Linked DNA regions of Bombyx mori. Each later gene encodes a partner of the first gene's protein in a complex. Links are inferred from orthologs where the notes say so. Each region holds a gene or a part of one and is shown on either strand. Other genes may lie near its edges.

Region 1 (4,066 bases):
ACAATATTTATGTTTTTGTTAGTATAAAAATAAAGGTTTGCATATTACGAAATAAATATGAGTTTTCACCACCATTGAAGTAGCTTCTTGCAGTGCATTATTAATAAAATAGAAGCACAGATATAAATATTTTTATTAAGTTTTATTAAATATTAATTGGCAAAAAATTACTTAAATTCGTTTAATGGATCGATGTTTTTCGATTTTAAATCGATGACATTCGTACGATGCTTAAATACATTAAAATGTATGATATACTGTATAGACGTATATTAACAGTCTTTTTGTAAAACTTTTTACTTTATCTGTTGGTTCGGTCTTGTTTTTACTTTACGGAGTTTTTAATATTTTTTATAATTCGGTTTTGGCAAGCGGTTAGCGGTTAGGCATGCCTAATAGCTTAAGCTTATAAATGATGGTATACATTAATACAACCACAGTGATTCATATTTTTTTGGATTGTTATACCATAAACTGCGTTTATTTGTGATCTAGGACTGTATAAAGTAGCACGGACGGATGGAAGTAAAACATTTTGAACAAAGGGGTAACCTAGATACTCTAAGAGTCGGTGCACGAAAGCGTTTGTTAAATTTATGAATTCAGAACCCACCAACTAGAGCAGCAACCAGATAGACCCTGAGTTCACAATCATTAGAATTCTGTACAGTGCTAGAATAGATTTATTTATGTATTTTCCCTAGCAGCCAGTAATTGCCTTATTTTTGTTTTTTTCTATTGGCTACTGCCAGAAGTTACGTTGGAAGGCTTGATGAGTTTATCTTTACAAACGCAACCATTGTGATCATCTATAATATTATATTTTCAGACATTTTTGCCAAAGACCATCAAACACCCCAACAATCTAGCACCCCACTAGATGCTTCTTTTTCTATTTGTTCTGAGTGTCCTTTTAAGCTTCTGTTTTTATGTTTCGTATGAATGATGCATTATGATATTCTTATGCAAATTCATAAAATTTCATAAAACGTGATATTTTGTATTTAAAAATCTAAATTATAATGTATCCTCCCATGGTACGCTGCCATGGATATACTACTAGCCCAAGAAAGATTCATGTCAGACAGACGGCCGATCGTAAAACTCATGCTAAAATCTCTTTCAGCAAGTTATGAGGACCATATTACTACCATAAATAACGTAGATTTATTATGGCCGGGAAAAAGTAGCTCGATCAAAGCTGTCAAGTTTCTGACAAGGCTTAAGAAGAACTCTGCAATAGGCAGTAGCTTGACCGTACGTACCTCTGATATTGTTGATGTCCAAGATCTATAATTTCCAAAATTATAATCGTAATATCGCCGTGTCAAAGGTTCTTATTTAATTTTGGAAGTGGCAGCACTGTCTCAGACGGTAGAATATAGTAGAAAAGTTAAATTCATTGACAAAATTCCAAAGAGTATATAATCACTACGTTATAAGAGTCCGCACTTCATAGTAAACGTTACAAAATGAAAATGTATGGGATCAGATCCGATCTGGTGACAACATTAAAACAACCACAGACTACAAAAATCCTACCACTGTCAAAAATAGTGATGGGCATTAATATCGATGTCCAATAAATAATGATGCGAATATTATCGATATTTTTGTCGATATCGAATGCAGGCAAGGATTGCATATTGAAATAAAAACTTTATTATTTTAAAAGAAATAAAACAATGTTTTATTACTTAGTATAATTTTAATGAAATTTGTAAGTAGAATTTTAACGCTTACAAAAAATTTTAAGTTTGTATCGGAAATGTTTAATTTTTATTTTACAATATAAACCAATATTTACTTAATTTTATGCAAGGTACAATAAGTATACATGTAGAGGTTTTCAACCTTGTTTTATAATGTTATAACGAACTAGGTTTTGAAAATTTTTGTGCTAAATAAAAAACAATTCGTTTCTATTTCCATTTGAAGAGTAAATTTTTAAAAACTTCTATTTTATAATAGTAAAAAAATAAAGTTCTAAATCTCTAAATGTATACTTTTTTTGAACTCAAACCCGAAGTTAACTTCTTTCTACAAAAAACAAATAAAAACTAATTATGTAATTATCTTGAAACACCATATTGTTGACCCCTTTTGTTCGCGTCCGCCAAATCCTCTTCCTTTGAAACTTGCTTTAAATTAATTATCTGGCACTGTCGCCGAATCAGCATTAGAGCCAATTTTGTAAACAATAAGTCTGACATTTGTTGACGATGATTAATGCATAGCCACTCTGTATTACAATTTGAATAAAATATAGTAATTGTCCACTGGCAAATATTGTTATTATGTAGGTTAGGGATACAAAACTGTTCAAAATTTGTAACCGCAGTGTGTACAGTTTGACACAACTGCAATGATGGATATGTCAAACATTTCTTATCTTGCCACCACTCCCTTAATTTAATTAAATCATAAATCTTATTTTCCTCTGGATCTGCAACTGTCAAAGTTTCTCTACAGACCTGGCAATCATTTTTTTTTAGAATAACAGAAGCTAGATATCCACTTATATAGACCACTGGTTGATTTGAAATTTTTGCTAGGTCACATACTATTTCTTTATATTCTTCTTCTTCAGGTATACTGAGAACCGGGTTGTCTTCCTCATTTTCATTTTCTGTGGAAACATGACTAGGAGACTCATTAATATCTTGACCTTGATCATCTTCGTCTTTAAACCCAAAAACTAAATCATGAAAATCCGTCATGAGTTCCTTTTTGTCTTCTTCACAATTGGAGTTTTTGCTGTGAGGGGCGGTAAGTCCTGATATTATAGAGGTTTTCATAGCTGCTATAAATGTAGAACACGTCGGATGCTTGTTTGTTTGACCATGCTGTCTTATTAACCCAAATAAATTTTCTAATGCATCCTGGTTTAACTGCCGTAGATTCAAATACTTATATCCTAAATCCTGAACTTCCAGCCAAATATCACGCAGCGATTTTAATGATATAATGTAGCCTTGAACACACTTTACATTTTTTGCTTCCACGCCATTATGGTTGAAAAATGTTAAAGTAGACAGTTGCTTTCTATATTCTGTCCAAACAGCTAAATGGTCAGTTTTAGCAGATACGTTTTCCCGTATACCTTTTTTTACGTCAGCATGTCCTGATGGCCCATTTGTATAATCAAAAAGTTTATTGAATTTTTCAATTAACAAAGCAGTCTGTAATATTTCATCTGATCGGTGTACATTTTCCACATTCGTAGCTAATAATTTAAGAACAGCAGCCACTGTTTGGCTAAATATTTGTGCGGCATACTTAACTTTCATTTTAGCTCTGTACTTTGGTTGTACATGAGTTGATTTGAGTTTGCTAAGATATAAAAAATTTCTATTTCGTTCCTCTACCTCAACTAAATGGCTCCATTGACCTTTCAATTCTCCCATTTTCAGAAATCCTTGTTTTAAAAAGTTATTTCTCAGTGATTTTAATAAATGTGGAATATCATAAATTATATAAATTTTTTTATTTTCAAATTCAAAATAATTATGTCCACCATTGTTCCACTCCTTTAACAGACTTAATGCTCCCATATTGGTGGGCGCTTGATCACATATTGTTGATAAAACTTGAAATCCCGAGTTAGTAATTTCTTTAATTATATCTTTTATTAAAACTGCTAATTTTTCTGAAGATACTGTGCCTCTTATGAAATAGAATGCCAGCGGTTGTTTAATTTTTCTCCCAATACCTTGTAACATGAAGACTAAGGCATGATTTGCTAGCTCATCTTTCCTCTCATATCCATAATCGATAAACCCTTCCACTTTATCTGTGGCTTCGCTATAAGTTAACCTTTCTTTTAACGCTATTTCATCAAAGACTAGCGAACATAATTTTGCTCTTATTTTTTTAATGGGAGCTAGTTTTTTCAGGTGGTCAAGTACAGCTGTATTTAAACCTGGCTCAACAGGTATTTTTTTCATTAATTTTTGCAATGTTTTGATACTCGGAAATGGTGCGAGATATCGCAGATATCGGTAAGCTTTTGGTGAACGCTTGAAGATGGCTAATGCTGATATTTTATTTTTAATAGTCCAGCGTT
Region 2 (3,500 bases), on another chromosome or scaffold:
CGACATTGTTGACATGATGCCTGAAGGTATTAAACAGAATAAGGCCAGGACGATATTGCAACATTTGTCTGAAGCTTGGAGATGCTGGAAAGCGAACATCCCTTGGAAGGTGAGTGCAATGAATAATAGTCAATCAATAAAGTCGTTTTAAAATATTTACAGATACGCAAAAGTCTGACTGTGTTCCTGTCTTTGCTAATGTCTACTCAGTATCAGATAAACTGTATGCTCATTTTGTGTTGTATGCTGCTTTGTAATTATAAAAAAGGAAAATTTTAGGTACCTGGACTTCCAACTCCAATAGAGAACATGATTCTTCGCTACGTAAAGATGAAGGCGGACTGGTGGACCAACACAGCTCATTACAACAGAGAGCGTATCCGCCGTGGTGCGACTGTCGATAAAACAGTCTGCAAGAAAAACCTTGGCAGACTAACAAGGTTGTATTTGAAAGCTGAGCAAGAAAGACAGCACAACTACCTTAAGGTTTGAATTATTTGAAAATTTGCATTTAATTTATATTTGGTGGTATGTTCTTATAATGTTCATTACAATGTTTCTCAACAGGACGGTCCCTACATATCTCCAGAGGAAGCCGTAGCAATCTACACTACCACTGTACATTGGCTTGAATCACGACGTTTCGCCCCAATTCCGTTCCCCCCTCTCTCTTACAAGCACGACACAAAGCTATTAATTTTGGCTCTTGAACGTCTCAAAGAAGCGTATAGCGTCAAATCCAGATTGAATCAGAGTCAGAGAGAAGAGCTAGGGCTTATCGAACAGGCGTATGATAATCCTCATGAAGCATTATCTAGGATTAAACGTCATTTGCTCACTCAAAGAACTTTTAGGGAGGTGAGTAATCTGATTTAATTTTCCACATAGGTACTTGGGTGTTTCTAATACTTGTACATATCTAAGGAATGTCAGTAACTGTCCAAAAATATAAAAGCTATTTTTTACACAAACAAAACTTGAAACAAACAAATTGGTGTGTAAATGATTTCATTTTCATTTCATTTTTCATCTGATGTTTTTTACATATATTTTTTCTAATTTCAGGTGGGAATTGAGTTTATGGATCTCTACTCCCATTTAGTTCCAGTATATGATGTAGAACCATTGGAGAAGATAACAGATGCATATCTTGATCAGTACTTATGGTATGAAGCAGACAAAAGACGTCTATTGCCACCCTGGGTCAAACCAGCTGATACAGAACCATCACCTTTACTTGTCTACAAGTGGTGTCAGGGTGAGTTAACTAATACTTATTACTTAATAACTTGTCTAATTACCACAACCTGAGTGCTGCCACCCATATTTAGACTCAGGTCTCAAACTGTTTCTATAATGGTTGTTCATGATTTCATGAAACAAAATGTATCACTTTATCAGTTTTTATTACCACATTTGCAAAATTCGTAAATTATAAATTATATTATTCTAACTACAGTAATAAGTATTATAAATACTAATGCTTGAAATTAAATTAATAAAATATATACTTTTTACATTATATCGTTATTTTTATAAACTAATTCAATAGGTAGATCAAAAAATTATTAAATATACAAAATACAAAGCTTATTCTCTTATAATACTTGAATTCTGTCACCAAACAATACAGAAGGTTGAGCATTAATAAAATGATTGTGATATAATTTTTAATATTAATTCTATCTCACAATTGATCTTGCTATTTGTTCATCATCCTGAATAGGTATTAACAACCTTCAAGACGTATGGGAAGTTGGTGAAGGCGAGTGTAATGTCTTGCTCGAGTCACGTTTTGAGAAATTGTATGAGAAGATAGATTTGACGCTGCTTAACAGGTTGTTACGTCTCATTGTGGACCATAACATTGCTGATTACATGACTGCTAAAAACAATGTAGTGATCAATTATAAGGTGAGGAAAACGGAAAAACAGTTATTTAACATTAAAATTAACCCCCATGTCTAAGTAAACAAAAAAAATGCTAATAGAATCTAAAAAATGAACATACTGTAATAGTAAACAATCCTCAAAAATTATGATAAAACTATTGTATTTAAATTTTTATTAAATTTTCATCATTATTTCAGGATATGAATCACACAAACTCATACGGTATAATTAGAGGTCTTCAATTTGCTTCCTTCATCGTCCAGTATTATGGCTTAGTGCTAGACTTACTGGTGCTCGGTCTACAGAGAGCCAGTGAGATGGCTGGCCCACCACAACTGCCTAATGACTTCCTTTCATACCAAGATCGTCAGACAGAAACTGCTCATCCTATTCGATTGTATTGCAGATACATAGATAGGATTCATATATTTTTCAGGTATGTATAATAATATTTTACGGTCATAGAAATTCATATTCCATTACTATAATTTATAGGTAATCAATATCCTTTCACTTTTTCTTTTAATATTAATAAACGTAATTTACATTGGTTGAATAATAGGTTTTAGTGACTGACAGTAACCTTTTAAGTTACTATAATGATCCAAGCAAGCATAAGAAATCAAGTCTTCAGTTTAAATAATTCATTTTTGGTTACAGATTCTCAGCAGAGGAAGCAAGAGATCTGATTCAACGCTACCTTACAGAGCATCCTGATCCCAACAATGAGAACATTGTTGGTTACAATAACAAAAAGTGCTGGCCGAGGGATGCTCGTATGCGTCTAATGAAGCACGATGTTAATCTGTAAGTTTTAGTTAAGTTAGTGATCATGAATAGTTTATTATGATAAATTTAAATATAATAATTATTATTTATTGATTGAATTAATTTAACAATCAATATTAAATTATTGAAGTAATAGAATACTGAATGAAATATTATATTTTCTATGCAACAGTGGGCGTGCAGTATTCTGGGACATAAAGAATCGTCTACCGCGTTCAGTGACAACTATACAATGGGAGAACAGCTTTGTATCTGTTTATTCTAAGGACAATCCCAATTTGTTATTCAATATGGCTGGATTTGAATGCAGAATCTTGCCAAAGGTAAGTTTTAAGATATATAACCCTCTTATTCTAATCATCATGTTAAATATTTATTGTAGTATATAGATAATACTGTCTACCATGTAACATGAAACTATCATAGTACTAGCAACCAAGACCAAGTTGCCAATTGTGCAGGCTGACGACACTACCTCGGATTGTGCTCCACAAATTCTACTTAATTTTCACTCAATGTGTCCATTACTAAAAGATGTTTATTTATGTAGTGCCGAAGTCAACATGAAGAGCTGTCGCATCGTGACGGAGTATGGAACCTTCAGAACGAAGTGACCAAAGAGCGCACAGCACAATGCTACCTACGTGTTGATGACGAATCCCTGGCTCGTTTCCACAATCGTGTCAGACAAATCCTTATGGCTTCCGGATCAACGACCTTTACCAAAATCGTCAATAAATGGAATACTGCTCTTATTGGTAAATCGAATTTGTCAAATTTTAGATTTTTTCCAACTTTCCTTAGATTCGTTCAAAATT
Region 3 (2,962 bases), on another chromosome or scaffold:
ACTGCCGATTCTGAACTATGTTTCTACTGTTAGGCACCTACCGATAAATTTGATAAACGTGAACATGACAAAATAGTAAAACAATTTGAATAATGAATACATTTTTTTTTACTAATTTAGATTAGCCGAGAAACTTATGGCTTAACTACCTAACATTAGTATGTTGTTGGATTTATTTTGTGAGTAGTATAATCGCTAGGATAAATCGTTAAAATGCGACAAATATTAACATGTCACCTCTGCCGGCTTTAACGTTTGGCAATTTTATAAAGTACCGCGCACTCCCTCTAGGTTTAATGGATTTAATAAAAAATATATAGAATGAATAGTATAACGCCAAAAGTTTCACATACAACTGCAAATGTTTTTTAGTTTTGATTTATAATAATTAATCTATGTATTACATACTATAATAATATGTTTTCACTACATATATATTATGTTATTGTTCAGTAATTTTATCAAAACTTTGCACGTAAAATGAAAAACAAATACCAAAATAATTGTTTGGTAAATTTTATTAAATCAGAAATATAATTAATGAAGTTGTACGTCTTGTCTTGCCAGCTCCAACAACATAGGATCGTCGAAAAACTTATTGATGGACACGTCCTCACTGAGCCCCTTGCGTCGACGGGTCTTGATCATGAACTCTCTGGCTAAATGCGTCGCTGGCTGTGGTTCCAATGGCCTAAATAAATAAAAAATGAATTAAATATGATTTTATCATTCACTGCTGATACAGATTCGTTTATAATAAATATCATTATCTTCGTCAATACACTGACCCGGCAGACTTCGTAGTGCCTCAATCGATAAATAAAAGACCTAAGCTTTTGTATAAAATAAACTTAAAATAAACAAAACGAATCCGTCCGACGGGGGACACATGAAAAAGAAAACATTTTTTTTATTTATATTTAATTCCGAGCATTTATTATTTATCTACCTTTTAAACCTTCTCTGGGCTTCCACAAATAATTCAAGACCAAAATTAGCCAAATCGGTCCAGCCGTTCTCGAGTTTTAGCGAGACTAACGAACAGGAATTCATTTTTATAAATTAGATAGATAAAACAATCCAAACTAGACAACTCACCTGATAACAATACTCTTGTCGAGCGGGTCGCCGGGCACGATCTGCCAGTGATGGAAGACCTGCAGACAGAAGGCCTGGCCCTGCGTGTGCGTGCGCAGGTCGGTCTCGAAGCCGAACGAGTCTATGGCCGGGACGAACGCTTTGATGGTGTAGAGCGGCGACCCGGGGACCGGAGCGTCCTGGGTCACGTGACCTGCGCGACGAGCCACAGACTCAGTCGGTTTTTTCTACCTAAGCTGATAGTCTTGTGAGACCATATCAGCGTCACCGGGCGAGTGGGTGAGCTCACGGGGCTCAAACCTGACGTTGTTGCTAACACGATCCCTAACAAGAGCTGTGCTTCGTAGAATCAACCACCGGATCGGAAACGCGACCCACTAAGAAGATCCGGCGAGAAACTCAGTGGGCTGTGTCTGTGGGTTAATTTACTCGCCGAGCCCTTCGTCGCAAGCGACGGGTTCGACGAAAACCCCGATGACCGGCTCAGTCGGTGGAATCAACAGCACTATATATTACAACATGTATATAATGTGGGACGGTAGAGTGAAATCTAGTGGACTTTCATACCAAAATTTTTTATTTTCCAAAAAAAAACCCTCCTTACCTCGTCATGTCATTCGATGACTGTAATTTTCATTATTCTTATTTTAAAATAATTCTAATGTGTCAGTGTGAACCTGATCAAAAAAAATACCGATCTTCCTACATATACATAATATGTATGTATATATTTAAAGGAAAAACCGCATTTGCGCTAAGGTCGCCGCACTGTGCGGGCACAATTGCGGATACGTGCGCAGTGAGTAGGAGTGGGTAATATCGGTTTTGCCGCGTATCGAATCGTATCTATATATCGAGGATCAATATCGGATATTGAATCTATATATTTTCTGAATCTATATATTGATGGATGCTGGTAGATTTTCTCGATTCATGATATTTGAGATTTGAAACGATACGCCGATATAATATCGTAGTATTTAAGTCAACGTTATACGGTTGGTTTTCTGATATCAATTTATAATATGATCTTAAAGTAATAAAAAGAACATGAAAATAAAAATATCAAAAAAACTTTCCTTCATGCTTTTACCAGGCTTAGGACTGGCTACATTATTTTCAGTTTTTAGTATTTTGTGTCTTAATTTAAAATTACAAAATATACCAAAAGAGTGTAGATTTCAAAAGTTTAATACAAACACAAGAAATAAACTCAATTATTTGGATTTAACTAAAAATAGAAAAATGTGTACTTTAAAAATCAAACACAAAAAACTTTGAAGTATTTATAAACACTTGTCCAAAAATTCTAGTTCAAGGTCAAAGCGCGTGAAATTAAATTCAACGATGCAAATAGGCTATACTGCATTCAAGTTAGGGTCGAAAGTTGAAACTTCTTTCCTTAATTGTATCCTGCTGATACGCTTAGAATAATCTACAGACATATGGACTTAAATATAAGGTTTACAATTGTATGGATAATGCCTGTTTCTGTTTCATTCATCACATGATATCGCTATCGTGCGCTCACTCACTCTGGCCGATTCGATACGAACCAAACGAATATTGCTGATATTAACGAATCGGTACGATATGCCGATGCGCATCACATCGAGCAATATCGTGTATCGGCTGATATCGAAATATAGATTTCGATTCACGAATCGGTCCGATATGGCGATGCGCATCACATCGAGCAATATCGTGTATCGGCTGATATCGATATATAGATTTCGTGCGGGGCGATATCGGATTCAACGATATTGCTGCGATATATAGATATTGAATCTATATACGATTTATATCACCCACTCCTAGCAGTGAGCAACCTGGTTGTAATCAGAATTATAACAATCTTGTTGCC
Region 4 (3,999 bases), on another chromosome or scaffold:
TATGCGAGCACACAATACCTATACACAATTATTATTTTTACAGTTTGCATTTTATTACACGATGTCATTCTTTTATTGTGTTTCATAAATGTGCACTTCTCATAACGGTCATCTAAGAAATACAAAACGGGGCCGCGTTGCAGAATACGGCAATATTAAGCCTGACAAGTGACAAGCAATCAGTGAGCGCTGTAACCTGTGACGTTTTAATACAAGGATCGATAAAACTAGACTGAGTTTTTTGTGCATTCCTTAAAATATCAAGTCGTCGTGCCCTAAAGGATAAATCGTCCGGTGCATTCGTGTTGAGCGATGCACCGGTGTTCGAATCCCGCAGGCGGGTACCAATTTTTCTAATGAAATACGTACTCAACAAATGTTCACGATTGTCTTCCACGGGGAAGGAATAACATCGTGTATTAAAAATCAAACCCACAAAATTATAATTTGCGTAATCACTGGTGGTAGAACCTCTCGTGAGTCCGCAAGGGCAGATACCACCACCCTGCCTATTTCCGCCGTGAAGCAGTAATGCGTTTCGGTTCGAAGCGTGGGGTAGCCGTTGTAACTATACTGAGACCTTAGAACTTATATCTCAAGATGGGTGGCGCATTTACGTTGTAGATGTCTATGGGCTCCAGTAACCACTGAACATCAGGTGCGCTGTGAGCTCGTCCATCCATCTAAGCAATAAAAAAAAAATTACACCCTAAACCTTTTAGCATTCAATATTTCCAGTTTGTATGGTAAATTATGATTCCACTTCCACTTTATTTCAAGGCAGCTAATGACTTTATTAATTTATCTATTTATTATTACTATAAAAGAGACATGAACATCGTGATAAGAATAGTGTTTATTATGTCCATTACAATGTTTGAGTTTTAACTCTGGTTTCAACTTTTAACAGTAGTAGTAGAAAGGGCTTAAGTGTGAAAAAAAAAAGAATTCCTCAATGTGGCTGTGTGGCTGCTCGGGTCCCTTCCAAATTGCCTAGAAGCCTCAATAAGTCTCCGCTAATTTACTGACAGGCTATTTTATTTCATCTTATACAACATGTACGGCTTTCTCTTATTTAACCTTATTATTCCATATGCTAATTTAAGTTTTGATTTAACTTCAGGCATTGCTATAAATGTTTAAGCTATGTTGTATGGGCAGTATTCCCTCCATTCAATAGACAAATCATAGTTTAAAAAAACAACTATCCGTCAAAATCAATCACATGTCAATGTTAAAAATGAGCATTATTTTGATCATTGCCAATATTATCATGTTGTGAAATGCAAAAATTAATTAAAAACCCTATAAATACCGACAATACTTGAAGGTCCTAAAGTGAAATACAGTACTTTTATTTAGTATTATTGTGTCCTCATTAATGATTATGTAGATATTACTCTAATATCGTAGTAAGCACACACTAGGTTGAATAAACAATCGTTCAAAATGTCAGACGCCGAAGTGGAAGTACTCAGTACTTTTAAAAAACGTAATATTAAGAATAGGGGTGGCAGAAAACGTAAAACTTCCAGTTCAGAAGGTAATATTGATCGTTAAGTTATTAAATTATTCTCCAAACGAAAGACATCTAAGAATAGTACATTAAAACTATCTCATCGCTTCTTCATATCCTCTTTCTCACTGTTCCCAGACCCCCGTATTATAAGTGCTTTTATTAAGTGTATAACTACTAACTATAAAATTATAATTATATGTAGCGCATTATTCTCTGTACATAATCTTTATTATAATATGTAAGTTTGTAGTAACATTAATTTTGTGTTAGTCCCAGGCACCATTAATATAGCCAAAATTGGATACTTTTTATAATATAAAGTGTGTTTAAATAGCTCGACAATGTTCCATATGTAGCCATAACACGACACTGGCAGAAATTGCTGGCAGAAACTATCGGCAGATTACCATTATAAAAAAAATATATCGACGCTTGAAAGGCAAAAGTGACTAAGCGACAATAACTGCTTTGCACATAAATGATAGGCAATAACCATATTCGATCCGCAAAAAATATATATTTCTAGGTCTATTAAAATTATTTCAATCCTACAGCTACTAGCTAGTTTCTACTACAACTGGATTCGTTAAAATAAATTTTGTTTTCATGTATTTCAACTTTAAATTAGTCTACCGTAAAGTTCACGCATTGTCGCTTAGTCACGTTTGCCTTTCAAGTGTCGATATATATTTTATCATATGAGGCCGTCAGCGCAAAAGCAGCCTAAGCGTACTATAGTTATTATGGAGCAATGAGGCTTTAGTTTTCATGAATTTGAATTTGAGTTGGCAAAAAAAACAATATGCGCTAAAATAATGATTACAAAGCCATCTGCTTTCTATGGGTGAAACTATGGATAGGCCGGTTTTGCATAAAAATTTATTATATATTAAATAAATTGCAATATACATGATTATAAGCATGAAAAATTGTGGGTTAGGCCACTTTTGCGCTGACAGCCTCATATATACTTGATATTTTTTTTTTTTATAAATATAAATATTTACTAACAATCACTCCACGTTAACTGGTCCCGTGCTAAGTTCGTAAAGAACTTGTGTTACAAGTACCAGATAACGGAAATAAATATAATATTTTTATTATACACATATATATATATATATATATATATATTTAATATACACCCATAACCCTGGAAAGACATTTATATTTATCATACAAATATCTTCCCTTGGCGGGATTCGAACCTGCGACCCCCTTGTGTAGTGACCATGTCACTTACCACTACACCAGACGGCTGCTTAATATATAATTTAATATAGTAACGTTTCAGAGAAAAACAGCTCGGACTCTGATGAGCAACAAGTAGTTCTACCAACGAAAAGGGTGAACAAACCAAATCCAAACATACAGTCTACAGGAGGTCCGAAGAAATCCAAAATTGATGTAATTGAAGATAATGATGATAGTAATGATGAAGAAAAGGTATAGTAACATTAACAGCTCATCATCATCATCAACTCACTTGGATATCATCAGATTTGATAATCTGATCTATAATGAGATCTGCACCTTTGAAGCACCAGATATAAGATATCATAAACAGGCTGTTGGTCCATCTTGTAGAAGGCCTACCCACACTTCAAATCTTCACATACTTCATACATATTTAGATATATAATAGCCACTTGAGAACTTTTGGTTCCAACAGCCTGCTTGCTGCCATTTCAGCCTTTCGGGTTGTCTTTTTTTATTCCTTAAGTTCTTAAGTGGTTACAGGAGCCCATAGACATCTACAAAGTAAATGCCGCCATGCATCTTGAGATATTTGTTAGTGTCTCAGTTATATCTCCACTGAAATCAATATTATCAACAATTAGAGCAGTTTATCTTTACTTAAATCTGGCACACATCTTTTTATCTCTTTAATCTTTTTACACGTCATCTTTATGTTGAAGTCTTGTCTTCTGTATTGAACATAAAAAAAAACCGTTTTAAGATCCATTTAGATCAACATAAGCTTACAATTCTTTCAGACTTCTCAAAGGACAACACTATCGGTTCAACAACAGAGAGAGAATGCAACAGCTACCTATGAATTAGACACAGAAAAGGATAGAGATGCCCAAGCCATCTTTGAGAAGGCTCAGAAGATCAATGAAGAGTTGCACGGACAAGCAGATGATAAGGTATCCATTTCTTCTTCTTCTTCTTCTTCTTTGTCGTTTCCTCATTACTGAGGATCGTGACCACCTTGGTCCAGTTTTTGCACCAGCTTCCTCCAATGTTGCCTGAGGGAGAATGCGGGAGGGACAGCGTAACCGCTCTAATGTTAAAGAGCCTAGGCTCGGATGGTACCAAGATTTTACACTCCATTTGCCAGAAAATATGGCGTACTGGCCAGTGGCCTGAAGACTGGACGGAATCAATGTTAATTCCTCTCCATAAAAAAGGCTCCACGCGCAAATGTGAGAACTACAGGTATCCATTTAACAGTATTGAAATCGCACACTTCGTGG
Region 5 (4,022 bases), on another chromosome or scaffold:
TCGGCTACCACAATCCCCGCATTCTCGCAAATAAAACGTCATTGACAGTCGTCCCACAGCAAGCCAGCACCGCAGCCTCAACAGGACCATCGCAGCCGACTCACCGCGCTTCCTGGTCCTACGGCACACAACTTCACTGCTTCATCACGCCGCTACAGTTCATCGCAGCCCACGACCGGATCATCAACGCTTGGGGTCACACATCTCCGGCGTGGCAGCTCTGCATCACATGGACTACGCACGACACGCACGCAACGTTCAAGCTCAGTCTCGACTCACTGCAGACTTCGAGCAGCACTGGCGACAATCACGCAGCATTCAGCTCAGTTTCGACTCACTGCAAACTTCGAGCAGCACTGGCGACACGCACGCAGCATTCAAGCTCAGCCTCGACTCACCGCAGGCTTCGAGCAGCACTGGCCCTTGCAAGCTAATCTCAGCACGGACAACGCTAACTAAAAAATGACACGACCTCCAGTCTCGGAGGGGAGTGATGTGGCGGGCAGCCATCATACAACGCAAGATAATTGACAGATGCCTGAATCTCGCTTACGACATTTTCAAGATAAAGCGCATATATACAAGTTCCAAACAACAACATTCGGACCGTCGGTCTACCGAGCAATATCATCCGCTCGGTGGAAGATCTTCCCTTTGTCGTATATACCCAAATATCTATGGCATACACGATAAAGGCAGAACTCTCAAAATTCTCAAATATTAAGTGTATAAACTATGGGGCAGAACGGCGATATCATCTAGTCTGACTTTTTGGCGGGAACGCGAAGAGTGAAGTTGTGTGATTTGTTTTTATTTTGTCTAATTAGTGTTTCTTCAGGTTTCAATGTGTAATAACGGTGGTTTATTAACTGTTTAGTATCTGTGAAAGTGCACAAATGTGGGAAAATGAAACAAAGCCGCTGAACGTAACTTCTCGGGATCTTCCAAAAAGTCCACTGAAAAAGTCTCAGTAAATGACCACCATTTTACTGAGATTATATTTCATCCCATATCATCTCTTATCACTTCATACCATTTCATCCCAAATGATTAATGTCTCAAATTAATCATCTTCATTTCATTTCACTCCATATTATCATTTTTCATAAACATAAGAATATAAATTAAAATAAGACATGACTTAAAGGCCTTAGTTACCAGGTCATAAAATCCCTTAAATTTTTTTTGTGTATAATCTATGACCCATAGATTTTTTTTGGTACAACTTTTCCTTATTAGGAAAAGCAAGGGGATCTACGCCCATACAATCTTTGACCCATAGATTATCCATTTAATACTTTACTGGATGTCAAATGTCAATATTATGTCAAACTCAAAGCAAGAAATTTGATCGACATCGTTGAAATTATAAAGTGAAGGTCAATGCGAAGCGAAGCAAACCAAAACATATAAATTCAAGTTATTAACGAATATAATTTTGAGCGAATCAAATCAAAAGTGATGCATTTGCAAAATTACTTGTCTGTTTTAGTAAATTTGTGCAGTTTATAAGAACTATAAGAACGAAAATGGAGGGCAAAAAAATATCTTTTGGTTTCATGAAAACGAAAAAAGCAGAAAAACCAGTCGTAGACGAAAAAAAGGACTATATAGAATGTGTAGAGGAGAAATCTATCAAAGTAGTCGGGTAAAATGACATCAAATACTTTAGAAAACTACGTTAACATTTTAAAATTTTATTGTTTTCATTTTAAAATCAAATGTGCTCTTTTTTTTATTGCTTAGATGGTTGGATGAGCTCACAGCCCAACTGGTGTTAAGTGGTTAATGGAGACCAGAGACATATACAACGTAAATGCGCCATCCACCTTGAGATATAAGTTCTACGGTCTTAATTATAGTTACAACGCCTGCCCCACCCTTCAAACCGAAACGCATTACTGCTTAACGGCAGAAATGGGCAGGGCGGTGGTACACACCCGCGGGGACTCACAAGAGGTCCTACCACCAGTAAAAAACAACAAATATATTAATTTACTTTAAACTAGATATCAACTGACTTGCAGACTTAATATTAGTAATGTCACTTATGAAAACGATCATAGAATGCTGCAGTCATAAATTCTATGAAACAATTTTGCTTGAATGGAGATGAAATTTGCCTGCATTTTTAACCAACAAAAAGGGGGCTCCTGTGTTCTTGTAGATAGTAGGATCTTCCCTTTTCCACGCGATATCACCCTCATGAACAGTGATTACATTGTTTTTTAAGGAAAATACTAAAAATGATTCCAAAATCAAATACAAAACAAACAAAGAAAAACTGGGGAAATGTAAAATAAAAATGGGACTTTGGGTAAACAGTCTTCCTAATTTATGCCAAAAAAGATCTCCAAAATTGAAATGTGGGAGTATGTACCTCACATCAACTTCTACACATCTACCTTAACACTTAAATTTTAGCTTTCCATGTTAACTATAAAATTTTACCAAACTCAATCTGCATTAAGGTAAAAGCACTAATGCTGGACATTGAACTAAAAGATGACACTTTAAAAAAAAAAAAATTCTAATAAGGAAACTAAACACTTAAATAACATTGCTGTTGATGTTAGACACCTAGTACCATGTATGATACATTCTCAAAAGCTTGCGTACAGTGTTAGAAGCAAATTTCAAATTGGCATCAGTTGACAACAAACAATGTGAGCAGGTTGACGTTTTGCGCGTAATTCTTAGCGTATTCCTTAAGCCATCTGACTTTTAACAGGTATGATTTTGTCTTATATTTATAATTATTGGCTACTGTTGGTTTCGATATTATAAATGTATGAAATTATTGATTTATTAGGACCAATTCCTTGTTATTTTGGTTTGTTTTTGTACAAATTTTAAGTGGTGTTTACTATTAGTACCAAAAATGAATCAAAACCTAAAAGATGACACGTGTGTCTTCTACTAGGGTTACATCGAACTGAATTTGTTAGCTTAATTTTCTTCAAATTCAGCCTTTATGTTGTAAAACAAAAGTTTCAATCTGAGTTTCGTTCATTTTACACTAGTCTAACTAAACGAAGACAGTGTCAACTATTAGGGTATACTAGATGTCAACTATTAGTATCAATTAATTTCAGCTTAAGTTTCGAGCACGATGCCACCAGTAAAGGGTCGGATGTTTCAATACTCTGAAGCCAATATTGAAGAAGCCATAAAAGAATGTATATGTTTGAGGATTTACTGGTGGCCCTGAGGCCTTTCCAGTTTCACAAGGACAGAAGGGACGGGATTTGCTAACAGCTACCCGAGCGCCTCCAAGGGAGACCTAACAACTCAAGAGTAGCTGCTTCGCGAATGAATCTACTACCGGATCGGGATCGCGACCCGCTGAGAAGATCCGGCGAGAAACTCAACGGGCTGATGCTTAGGTTAGGTTGCACGTTAGGTTAGGTTGAACTCTTTGCAGAGTTCGACGAATACCATTACCGGGATCTCTACTCCTAGTGTTAAAGCGGAAGGCGTCTAATGTAAGGGTTATTGGATCTGTTGGATCCGTAAGGAGGTGTCTAGGGCGACGACGGTGACTGGCTCCTGCGTGGTCAGGATTCGGGGAGTAGTCAGCGGCGGCAACGATAAGGCGATTATCATGACGCATTGCCTTATCGAAGTAACGTTCCGACGCGGACTTCATGTATTTTTTGATCGGTTCGAGGTCCAAGTCGTCGTGTAAGTCGACGTTCCTCACGAACCACGGGGCTCCGACTGCTAACCTGCAAAAACGAGATTGTAGGGATTGGAGGGTGTCTATGTGTGTACGGGCCGCGTGAGCAAACACCACACTCGCGTAAGTCATGACCGGCCTTATGTAAGCTTTGTAAAGTGTCACCTTGTTCCGAAGGGACACTTTACTCCGCTTACAGATCATGGGGTAGTCTGCCGAGAATAAAAGCGGCACGGTCGCGGACTGATTTTATATGTGGGTGGAATGTCATGGATGCATCCAGGGTGACTCCCAAGTACTTGACCTTCCTGGTTCAGGATATGAGGGGGGGCGTTCCGACAGC
Region 6 (4,049 bases), on another chromosome or scaffold:
CTCTTCCATATAGGTTGGAGTGCGGGGTGAGACAAGGCGGGTTGAGTTCGCCTACGCTCTTCAACCTGTATATGAACGAGCTGATCGGCGAGCTCAGTAGGACCAGGATTGGTTGTTTCATAGACGGGGTGTGCGTAAACAACATCAGCTACGCAGACGATATGGTGCTGCTGAGCGCGTCTATCTGTGGCCTAAGGCAACTTGTTTCTTTGTGTGAGGGATACGCCAAATCACACGGTTTGGTGTACAACTGTAAAAAGTCGGAGATCATGGTCTTTGAGACCAGGGGTGGGACGCATGATAAAATACCTCCCGTAGTACTCAACGGAACGCCATTGACAAGAGTTTATAAATTTAAATATCTCGGCCATGTGTTGACCCCTGATCTCAAAGATGATGAAGATATTGAACGAGAGCGGAGAGCGTTGTCGGTTAGAGCAAACATGATAGCTCGCAGGTTTGCACGGTGTTCACTTAAAGTCAAGGTCACCCTCTTTAGGGCCTACTGTACTAACTTTTACACGTGCAGCTTGTGGGCTGGATATACTCAAAGATCGTACAATGCTCTCCGTGTTCAATACAATAACGCGTTTAGGGTGCTGGTGGTGCTGCCCCGCTTTTGTAGCGCATCAGGGATGTTTGCAGACGCGCACATAGATTGTTTTTACGCTACCATGCGTAAAAGGTGTGCATCTCTGGTAAACAGAGTGAGGGCCAGCTCCAACAGTATCCTGAGCATGATCGCAAGCAGGCTGGACTGTATATACATGGGTCGCTGTGGTGCCATCTCCCATGGGATGTTACCACAGTAATTCATTGTGATGTAAATATAAATACTAACATAGGTCTAAGTCTTATTAACAATTTATATGAGTCATGGATACTTGAAATAAAAACATTATTATTATTATTATTATTATTATTAATGGTTTAATATCTGTGAAAGTGCACAAATGAAACAAAGCCGCTGGACGTAGCTTCTAGGGATCCTCCAAAAAGCCCACTAAAGAAGTCTCAGTAAATAACCACCATTTTACTGAGATTATATTTCATCCCATGTTATCTTATCTCAATTTATTTCATTTCATCTCAGTTGATTAATGTCTCAAATTAATCATCTTCATTTCATTTTATTTCATTTGACTCCCTAAATCATTTTTCATAAAAATAAGAATTTAAATATAAAATAAGACATGACCCAAAAGTCTTAGTTACCAGGACATAAAATCCCTTTAAAAAAAGTGTATTATGGCTTTGAAACATTTGAAAGAATGTTGATTTGTGACATTTGTGTTTGTCTAAATTGATACCATAGATAATACACATAATAATATAAAGTTCGTCAAATTAATTTTCTAAATTAAATAATTTGAAATTTTATTTAATAATGGCTACGACTGTAAACCAGAAAGCGTACTTGCAAAAATACCTGGCTGGTCCATCGGGCGATAAAAAGAAAAAGAAAAAAAAAGTGCTAAAAGGAAAAGGGTAAGTCAACTGTAGACAATGTGAACAATAATTGAAATTAAACGTGAAAGAATTTACTATTTCTAAAAAAAATACCTTAAATATCTACCGTTTTGATATTTACAATTGTATTTTGGCATTATATTAAAGTGCTGTCGTCACACTAAAATGCATTTTAAAATTGAAAAAAAAATCATGTACATTTTCACGTATTCTCCTTACAAGTTATTGTATTTTAAGTAAGTATTGATTATTTGTATAATGAAATACATAACAAATGCGAATTAATTTCAAATTTCTTATTCCTGTCAATATTTTCATTCAGTATGGATGAATTTTTTGGTTGCTTAAGCATGTTGTTCTAATAAGGTTCGAACAGTACATTAACTATATCATCACTCTCGGCTCATCTTCCTTCAAAGACGCAAACGTCAGTTCCAAATAAAGAACAAAAAAAAATTCTTTCATTAGTGAAAGATACAGATGACAAATAACCTTACCTGTTGAAACACTAAAGTGAATATAAAAAATGTATTTTCTCATCTAATTTTAGGTTCAAAATAATAGACGATGACATTGACCTATCGAAGCTACGACCCCTTGAGGGTGACGAGTTAGATGTGTATGATGAAGGTGATGACGCACCGCAAGTAGCAGGTATCATCGATGAAAGACCAGAGCATATAAAAAAACAGGAACAATTCACCACTAGTTCTAAATGGAAGATCGTGAATCAGGTACACATGTTTATTACTTTATTTTTACTGTCAAGCCTTCAACATATTAAAAAACCATTCTAATAGAAATCTTATTCATCGATTATAACAGACACCGAAAATCGTTACAGGATGACGGATTCAACAGCAAACTACAAATTGAAGAGATAAAGAAAGATGTAAAGGAAACCGAGAAAGAAAACGAATTGGTCTTTGGAAAAATGTACAGTGATTCCGAAGATGATAAGCCAAATGTTTCAGAAGCTTCGCCGTCTGGAAGAGCTAAAAGCAAAAAAAAACACAACAGTGACAGCGACTTCAGCCCACCAAGAAGAGGGAATCCAGTGAAAAGGAATAATTCTCCTAAAAGAACTACTGAATATGATTCTGATCTTTCACCACCTAGAAAGCATGAGGGTCAGAGAGCTGAAAAACTTAAAAAACCAAGTCGTTGGGACAATGAGAAGGATAAGTCACCAAAGTCTTTAAGAGCTAATAACCACAGAAGATCTAAGAGCTCTGATTTGTCTCCTCTAAGGAAAACCCAAATGAATAAGATTTCTTCAGGACAAGATATGAAAATTCAAAAAAGATATGATGTGACATCTCCCAGAAAATCTAGAAAAGATGATTCAAAACGAAATAGACTTAACTCAGTTTCACCTCCGAGGCGAAAAAAATCCCCAGAGAAATCTAAATTTGGTCACGATAACAGACAGAGCCAGTTAAAAAAGTATAATGATACAGATTATGGTTCGAGGTATGACAAAAGATCTAACAGATCAAATTCAGATTCTGATATGTCTCCCCCAAGAAAGAGTAAGAGACAAATCTCAGAATCTCCCTGTAGAAATGTTCCACTAAGAAAAAAAACGAATGATAGTGATTCAGATTTATCTCCTCCCCGTAAAAATATAAGATATGCAGAAAACAAGTCCTATAGGAATGTAAGCAAAAAACCTCACAGGAGGAATGACACAAAAGACAGTGGTTCGGATTTATCACCACCGCGAAAGCTTAAGAATATAGATAACTACAGAAGGCATGACTCTGAACGTAAAAGAAAAGACAGAAGTTCAAAAAGAAATAATAGCGATTCTGATCTTTCTCCTCCTAGGAAAGATAGGTCTAACAAGAATGACAGTCCCCCTCCAACCCATAAAAAAATGGAGAAGACTTTGGAAGGAAAGAAAGCAGGATTACAAGATGCCAAGCAGCTGAGGCAAGAAAACGATGACTTTAGAAAGAAAGAAGAGGAGATGTTTAAGAAAATGAAAGATGATGTTTCAGGCAGGAATGCTCAAGTTGTGTCAAGGAAAGGTTAGAATTATTAATATAAAATTTAATTTAAATAATAAAAAAAAAGAATATTACACATATCTACGGCAATCTAATTTAAAATTATAAGTAATCTTTGTTACTTAATCTTACTTTATTACTTATTCTCTATTACTTTAGTACTTAACAAATGTTCACGATTGACTTCCACCATGAAGGAATAACATCGTGTAATAAAAATCAAACCCGCAAAATTATAATTTGCGTAATCACTGGCGGTAGGACCTCTTATGAGTCCGCGCTGGTAGGTACCACCACCATCCTGCCTATTTCTGCTGTGAAGCAGTAACGCGTTTCGGTCTGAAGGGTAGGGCAGCCGTTATAACTATACTGAGACCTTAAAACTCGTATCACAAGGTGGGTAGCGCATTTGCTTGTAGATGTCTATGGGCTCCAGTTACCACTTAACTTCAGGTGGGCTGTGAGCTCGTCCACCCATCTAAGTAATAAAAAAAAGTTACATAGTTAAAGTCAAAATAAATATGTGAGCATTCATTGTTCATGGAACATATTTTTATACAAAAATTT
Region 7 (4,109 bases), on another chromosome or scaffold:
AAAAATATTTTGTCCAAATGCACAGATTGCCACCTTTGATAATAGACGACTCATATACACATATGTTTAAGTAATATCACCTTCACACTACACCTACCAAGGTTCATCTCTGCACCCCCCTAAGGTAGACTGTTAGAGAATGCCTATGGCATTAAGTCCTTTATACCGTTTAGTATATAAAGTTATAAATAAATAAATAAACATATATTCAGAATTATTCAGATTATTTAGAACATAGATAGGACAGATGACAACTTGTAACAATCATTATAATTTGTCATCATTCATGAGTGTTAGAATTATTCTCATTTCATTTTTGAAACCGATTTCTTGGATTCAAGTCTTGATTATCTGTAGTACCGCTAATTGTGGGTGTTCATAGGTTGGCATTACAATCCTATCTGTTTATTCCTCGAAGCAATCACACTTTACCATCCGTGAGGAAATTTCCAGTATCTTTATTATTATCTTAAAATAGTCCAAGGCATATAAAGCATTGCTTTACAAATACACTATATTTTTTCTTTTAGAACTTATTTAGGTAATGTTTCTTATGAACTAGGATAACATAACAATAAACTAAGTTGAGCTCTGTCTGTAATTCTTAGTGTCTAGAATCTTCTTTCCACACATGGCACATATACCCTTTTTGTATGCACAAGCTTGGCAGTAATGTGATCCGACCTGGTGTACTTTCGTTCTGCAGATTCTGAAAAATAAAAGAATATATTTTAAAAACTTTTAATACATTTTACTGGAGGTATGGTTAGACCTAATAGACGCCTTTGAAATGTGGAGCTGGAGAAAAACGTTACAGATTCCATGGAATGCCTTTCTCACCAACGTGACTATTCTGAGAGAGCTTAATATCATAACTAGTCTTTCCAATATATGCCTTCGTTGGGTGCTGGAATTCTTCGGACATATTGCCCGTAAAGAGGGTCACAATCTAGAACAGCTGATGCTGACAGGAAAGGAAGATGGCAAACGTCCAAGAGGATGCAGTACCACGAGATGGTCGGACTAAATACAATCTTCTCTGAACATCAACTTCCACAATGTCCTTCATGAAGCTAAGGATCGCAGCAGATGGAGGGAAATCGTACGGAAGAAACTGATGCAGCGGGGGAGTTCAGTAATGAGGAAAACGACACGAGGAGGTGGAGGTGGTATGGTGTAATGTACTGAAATAGGTTCCACAAACCTAGTTATTGCAACCATAAATTTGTCCCATTTTCAAAGGAGAGCCATTTTTAAATTCGAATAAATCTTCAACTGCATCTCTTCATATAAAAACAACGTACACATTACAATCATCTATGGCCCTATTAATCTACCCATGTAGTGTACTAAATAAATCACTCAAGAGAAGAAGGGATAATGAATATAAAAAACATCCTTCAAACAAGTAACAACTAACTTTTATTGTATTGTTATTTTACATATTGGTAACTAAAAGTCCAGCAGTATTTAGTGTGTTTGTCTGAAGCGTTCGGGATTAGGAAGTATTATTATGAATATATGAGGCAAAATTGGGGAAGTATTATTAAGAATGTATGAGTTAAAATTGGAGAAGTATTATTAAGAATGTATGAGTTAAAATTGGGGAAGTATTATTAAGAATGTATGAGGTAAAATTGGGGAAGTATTATTAAGAATGTATGAGGCAAAATTGGGGAAGTATTATTAAGAATGTATGAGGCAAAATTGGGGAAGTACTATTAAGAATGTATGAGTTAAAATTGGAGAAGTATTATTAAGAATGTATGAGTTAAAATTGGGGAAGTATTATTAAGAATGTATGAGGTAAAATTGGGGAAGTATTATTAAGAATGTATGAGGCAAAATTGGGGAAGTATTATTAAGAATGTATGAGGCAAAATTGGGGAAGTATTATTAAGAATGTATGAGGCAAAATTGGGGAAGTACTATTAAGAATGTATGAGTTAAAATTGGAGAAGTATTATTAAGAATGTATGAGTTAAAATTGGGGAAGTATTATTAAGAATGTATGAGGTAAAATTGGGGAAGTATTATTAAGAATGTATGAGGTAAAATTGGGGAAGTATTATTAAGAATGTATGAGGCAAAATTGGGGAAGTACTATTAAGAATGTATGAGTTAAAATTGGAGAAGTATTATTAAGAATGTATGAGTTAAAATTGGGGAAGTATTATTAAGAATGTATGAGTTAAAATTGGGGAAGTATTATTAAGAATGTATGAGGTAAAATTGGGGAAGTATTATTAAGAATGTATGAGGCAAAATTGGTTTTTAAACATCAGGATTACTCACTTGCACTGTTGAAATGTGGAAGTGTACGGATTAAATCGTCCTTTTTTGGCGGTTAATGCTTTGTTTTCTCCAACAACACGTCCGCCGGACTCCACGGTATTCCTAGCTCCAGCCTTCCAAGGGTCCGGCGTTATTACTCTGCCCAATTTCTTTTCGCACTTCTCACAAACCATTTTTGTTCTGTTTCTTACTAACCTAACGAGCTTGTATTAGTACGAAATTTTATTAAATTGTTGTTTTGACTGAATAATATGTAGGTTATATTAATTAAATATTACTTATCAAATATTAAAATATGCTCTGCTAGTGAACAGCTAGTTTTATTAAGAAATCATAGTTAATACACTTAATATTTGTTAGAAATAAAATTTATTTAAGTTGATGTTGTTACTAATAGTTTTCTTTTGAATTGTCATTTGGATAGGCAACAGGAATGAAGCCCATACAGTCAAAACTTGTACCGAAGTGCGGTTCCGTGTCTGTGGTATTAAAAGTGGAACTAAAACAATACATAATACAAATTGAATTGGTTCTGGAATTAAATTGAATAAAGAAAATGAAATTCAATGAATTAATATAAAAGACGGTCAGGACTTAGATGAGATGAAAATACCTTGCAATCAAATGGGTGGACAGTTGGTTTACTAAGACGGACTTATTCTTCCTATTTTCCACGGACTTTTTGGAAGGGCCCGTTATGCCACGGCCTATTTTTCACTAAGACTACGGTTAATATTTCAATGTACTTTTACGAATTCTAATCGATTAATATGTAAATTTTAAGCCTGAAGAGACATTAAATTAAAAAGTAACAGCTTGAGTGCCCGCCAAATAGTCCTTAATGTTTCGTGCTGTATTTTCTTCAAATTAAATAGTGTAACGTCGGTCTCATGCAAACAAGAACTGCTTGGCAGTCCAAATAGGTTCGAAGCCAACTCGTGCCACTTATAAATCGCATAGTCCTACACGACTTCTGTGCGCACCCTGACCCTTAAGTACTTTGTATATTGTTTTAGAAACCGTCAAGACAAAATCGAGATCATGGGGCTTAAGTTGAAGAAAAAAACAAAATAATCACGTTTTCCCTGTAGATAAAAAAAACATCAAATAAAACATCATATCCAATTGCAATATAAGTATTGAGCGATTTATTAACTCGTTTCTCGATAAACATTTCAATAGATTTTATTATTCAACACATTCAACTTTCATAGTTTATTTATCCGACGCCGAAAGCTAATCTATATTAGTGGCACGTTACTCTATCAAAAGCGTTGTAACGGAATGTTGCAAGAAATAAAAACATACGAATTGCTAACTCTGATGTTCCTCCGCCATTTTCGTTGGAGCATCACTTGGATTTGTGTCATTTGACTCTGGGTAATATTGTTCTTGTGGAGCCTCCGCTGTGTTCTCATAGCTTTGTTCGTAATTCTGCTCGGGTTGGTAGTTGACTTCGGCTATGTTGTTGTATTGTTCTTCGCTATATTGCGCGTTGGGGTCAGCATATTGCTGATATTGTTCATAATTTTCATATTGTTCGTTTGCGTAAGTCGGCTCCTCGTAATTATTTTGGTATTCAGGTTGGTATTGCATTTCTGTTGCTTCGTAATTTTGTTCCTGTCCAATGAAATTCGCATCCTCTTGATAAGTCTGTTCTTTATGCTCTACGTCCATTGGTCTTTCTGATTTAATTGGTGCATCGTTTTGATTTTTGTAGGGTTTTTCATCATCTTTGGACATCGGTTGAGATTGATGTTCGTCGGTTATTGTTGTAGGCTCTTGGTGGTCGTGATGCTCGGGTTGGAGTCGCT

The links.
Region 2: small nuclear ribonucleoprotein G (region 1) and pre-mRNA-processing-splicing factor 8 share a complex: the UniProt entries of both Homo sapiens proteins name them as parts of the U4/U6-U5 tri-snRNP complex. The link is inferred for Bombyx mori from reciprocal best matches to the Homo sapiens genes SNRPG and PRPF8.
Region 3: small nuclear ribonucleoprotein G (region 1) and 116 kDa U5 small nuclear ribonucleoprotein component share a complex: the UniProt entries of both Homo sapiens proteins name them as parts of the minor spliceosome. The link is inferred for Bombyx mori from reciprocal best matches to the Homo sapiens genes SNRPG and EFTUD2.
Region 4: small nuclear ribonucleoprotein G (region 1) and E3 ubiquitin-protein ligase RNF113A share a complex: the UniProt entries of both Homo sapiens proteins name them as parts of the minor spliceosome. The link is inferred for Bombyx mori from reciprocal best matches to the Homo sapiens genes SNRPG and RNF113A.
Region 5: small nuclear ribonucleoprotein G (region 1) and G-patch domain and KOW motifs-containing protein share a complex: the UniProt entries of both Homo sapiens proteins name them as parts of the minor spliceosome. The link is inferred for Bombyx mori from reciprocal best matches to the Homo sapiens genes SNRPG and GPKOW.
Region 6: small nuclear ribonucleoprotein G (region 1) and BUD13 homolog share a complex: the UniProt entries of both Homo sapiens proteins name them as parts of the minor spliceosome. The link is inferred for Bombyx mori from reciprocal best matches to the Homo sapiens genes SNRPG and BUD13.
Region 7: small nuclear ribonucleoprotein G (region 1) and cysteine-rich PDZ-binding protein share a complex: the UniProt entries of both Homo sapiens proteins name them as parts of the minor spliceosome. The link is inferred for Bombyx mori from reciprocal best matches to the Homo sapiens genes SNRPG and CRIPT.

Annotation. Positions count from the first base shown.
Region 1 is NC_085133.1:8,591,043-8,595,108, reverse strand, and holds the start of small nuclear ribonucleoprotein G, read left to right. Parts: upstream 1-1,266; 5' UTR 1,267-1,414; intron 1,415-1,688; exon of another isoform or gene 1,689-2,072; coding exon of another isoform or gene 2,073-4,066. Other genes in the region: uncharacterized protein LOC134201547, read right to left, coding at 2,073-4,066. UniProt on the Homo sapiens protein: Plays a role in pre-mRNA splicing as a core component of the spliceosomal U1, U2, U4 and U5 small nuclear ribonucleoproteins (snRNPs), the building blocks of the spliceosome.
Region 2 is NC_085114.1:12,596,045-12,599,544, forward strand, and holds part of pre-mRNA-processing-splicing factor 8, read left to right. Parts: coding exon 1-109; intron 110-279; coding exon 280-486; intron 487-567; coding exon 568-858; intron 859-1,065; coding exon 1,066-1,258; intron 1,259-1,726; coding exon 1,727-1,914; intron 1,915-2,090; coding exon 2,091-2,329; intron 2,330-2,553; coding exon 2,554-2,700; intron 2,701-2,854; coding exon 2,855-3,005; intron 3,006-3,232; coding exon 3,233-3,440; intron 3,441-3,500. UniProt on the Homo sapiens protein: Plays a role in pre-mRNA splicing as core component of precatalytic, catalytic and postcatalytic spliceosomal complexes, both of the predominant U2-type spliceosome and the minor U12-type spliceosome.
Region 3 is NC_085121.1:1,473,641-1,476,602, forward strand, and holds the end of 116 kDa U5 small nuclear ribonucleoprotein component, read right to left. Parts: intron 1,292-2,962; coding exon 1,099-1,291; intron 692-1,098; coding exon 538-691; 3' UTR 501-537; downstream 1-500. UniProt on the Homo sapiens protein: Required for pre-mRNA splicing as component of the spliceosome, including pre-catalytic, catalytic and post-catalytic spliceosomal complexes. Component of the U5 snRNP and the U4/U6-U5 tri-snRNP complex, a building block of the spliceosome.
Region 4 is NC_085108.1:7,586,020-7,590,018, forward strand, and holds the start of E3 ubiquitin-protein ligase RNF113A, read left to right. Parts: upstream 1-1,199; 5' UTR 1,200-1,449; coding exon 1,450-1,543; intron 1,544-2,813; coding exon 2,814-2,965; intron 2,966-3,516; coding exon 3,517-3,669; intron 3,670-3,999. UniProt on the Homo sapiens protein: Required for pre-mRNA splicing as component of the spliceosome. As a component of the minor spliceosome, involved in the splicing of U12-type introns in pre-mRNAs. E3 ubiquitin-protein ligase that catalyzes the transfer of ubiquitin onto target proteins.
Region 5 is NC_085127.1:6,327,906-6,331,927, reverse strand, and holds the start of G-patch domain and KOW motifs-containing protein, read left to right. Parts: upstream 1-1,222; 5' UTR 1,223-1,529; coding exon 1,530-1,648; intron 1,649-4,022. UniProt on the Homo sapiens protein: RNA-binding protein involved in pre-mRNA splicing. As a component of the minor spliceosome, involved in the splicing of U12-type introns in pre-mRNAs.
Region 6 is NC_085130.1:5,568,787-5,572,835, forward strand, and holds the start of BUD13 homolog, read left to right. Parts: upstream 1-1,249; 5' UTR 1,250-1,387; coding exon 1,388-1,488; intron 1,489-2,020; coding exon 2,021-2,204; intron 2,205-2,314; coding exon 2,315-3,503; intron 3,504-4,049. UniProt on the Homo sapiens protein: Involved in pre-mRNA splicing as component of the activated spliceosome. As a component of the minor spliceosome, involved in the splicing of U12-type introns in pre-mRNAs.
Region 7 is NC_085130.1:5,681,330-5,685,438, forward strand, and holds cysteine-rich PDZ-binding protein, read right to left. Parts: upstream 2,731-4,109; 5' UTR 2,469-2,730; coding exon 2,296-2,468; intron 710-2,295; coding exon 580-709; 3' UTR 501-579; downstream 1-500. Other genes in the region: drebrin-like protein, read right to left, coding at 3,610-4,109. UniProt on the Homo sapiens protein: As a component of the minor spliceosome, involved in the splicing of U12-type introns in pre-mRNAs. Involved in the cytoskeletal anchoring of DLG4 in excitatory synapses.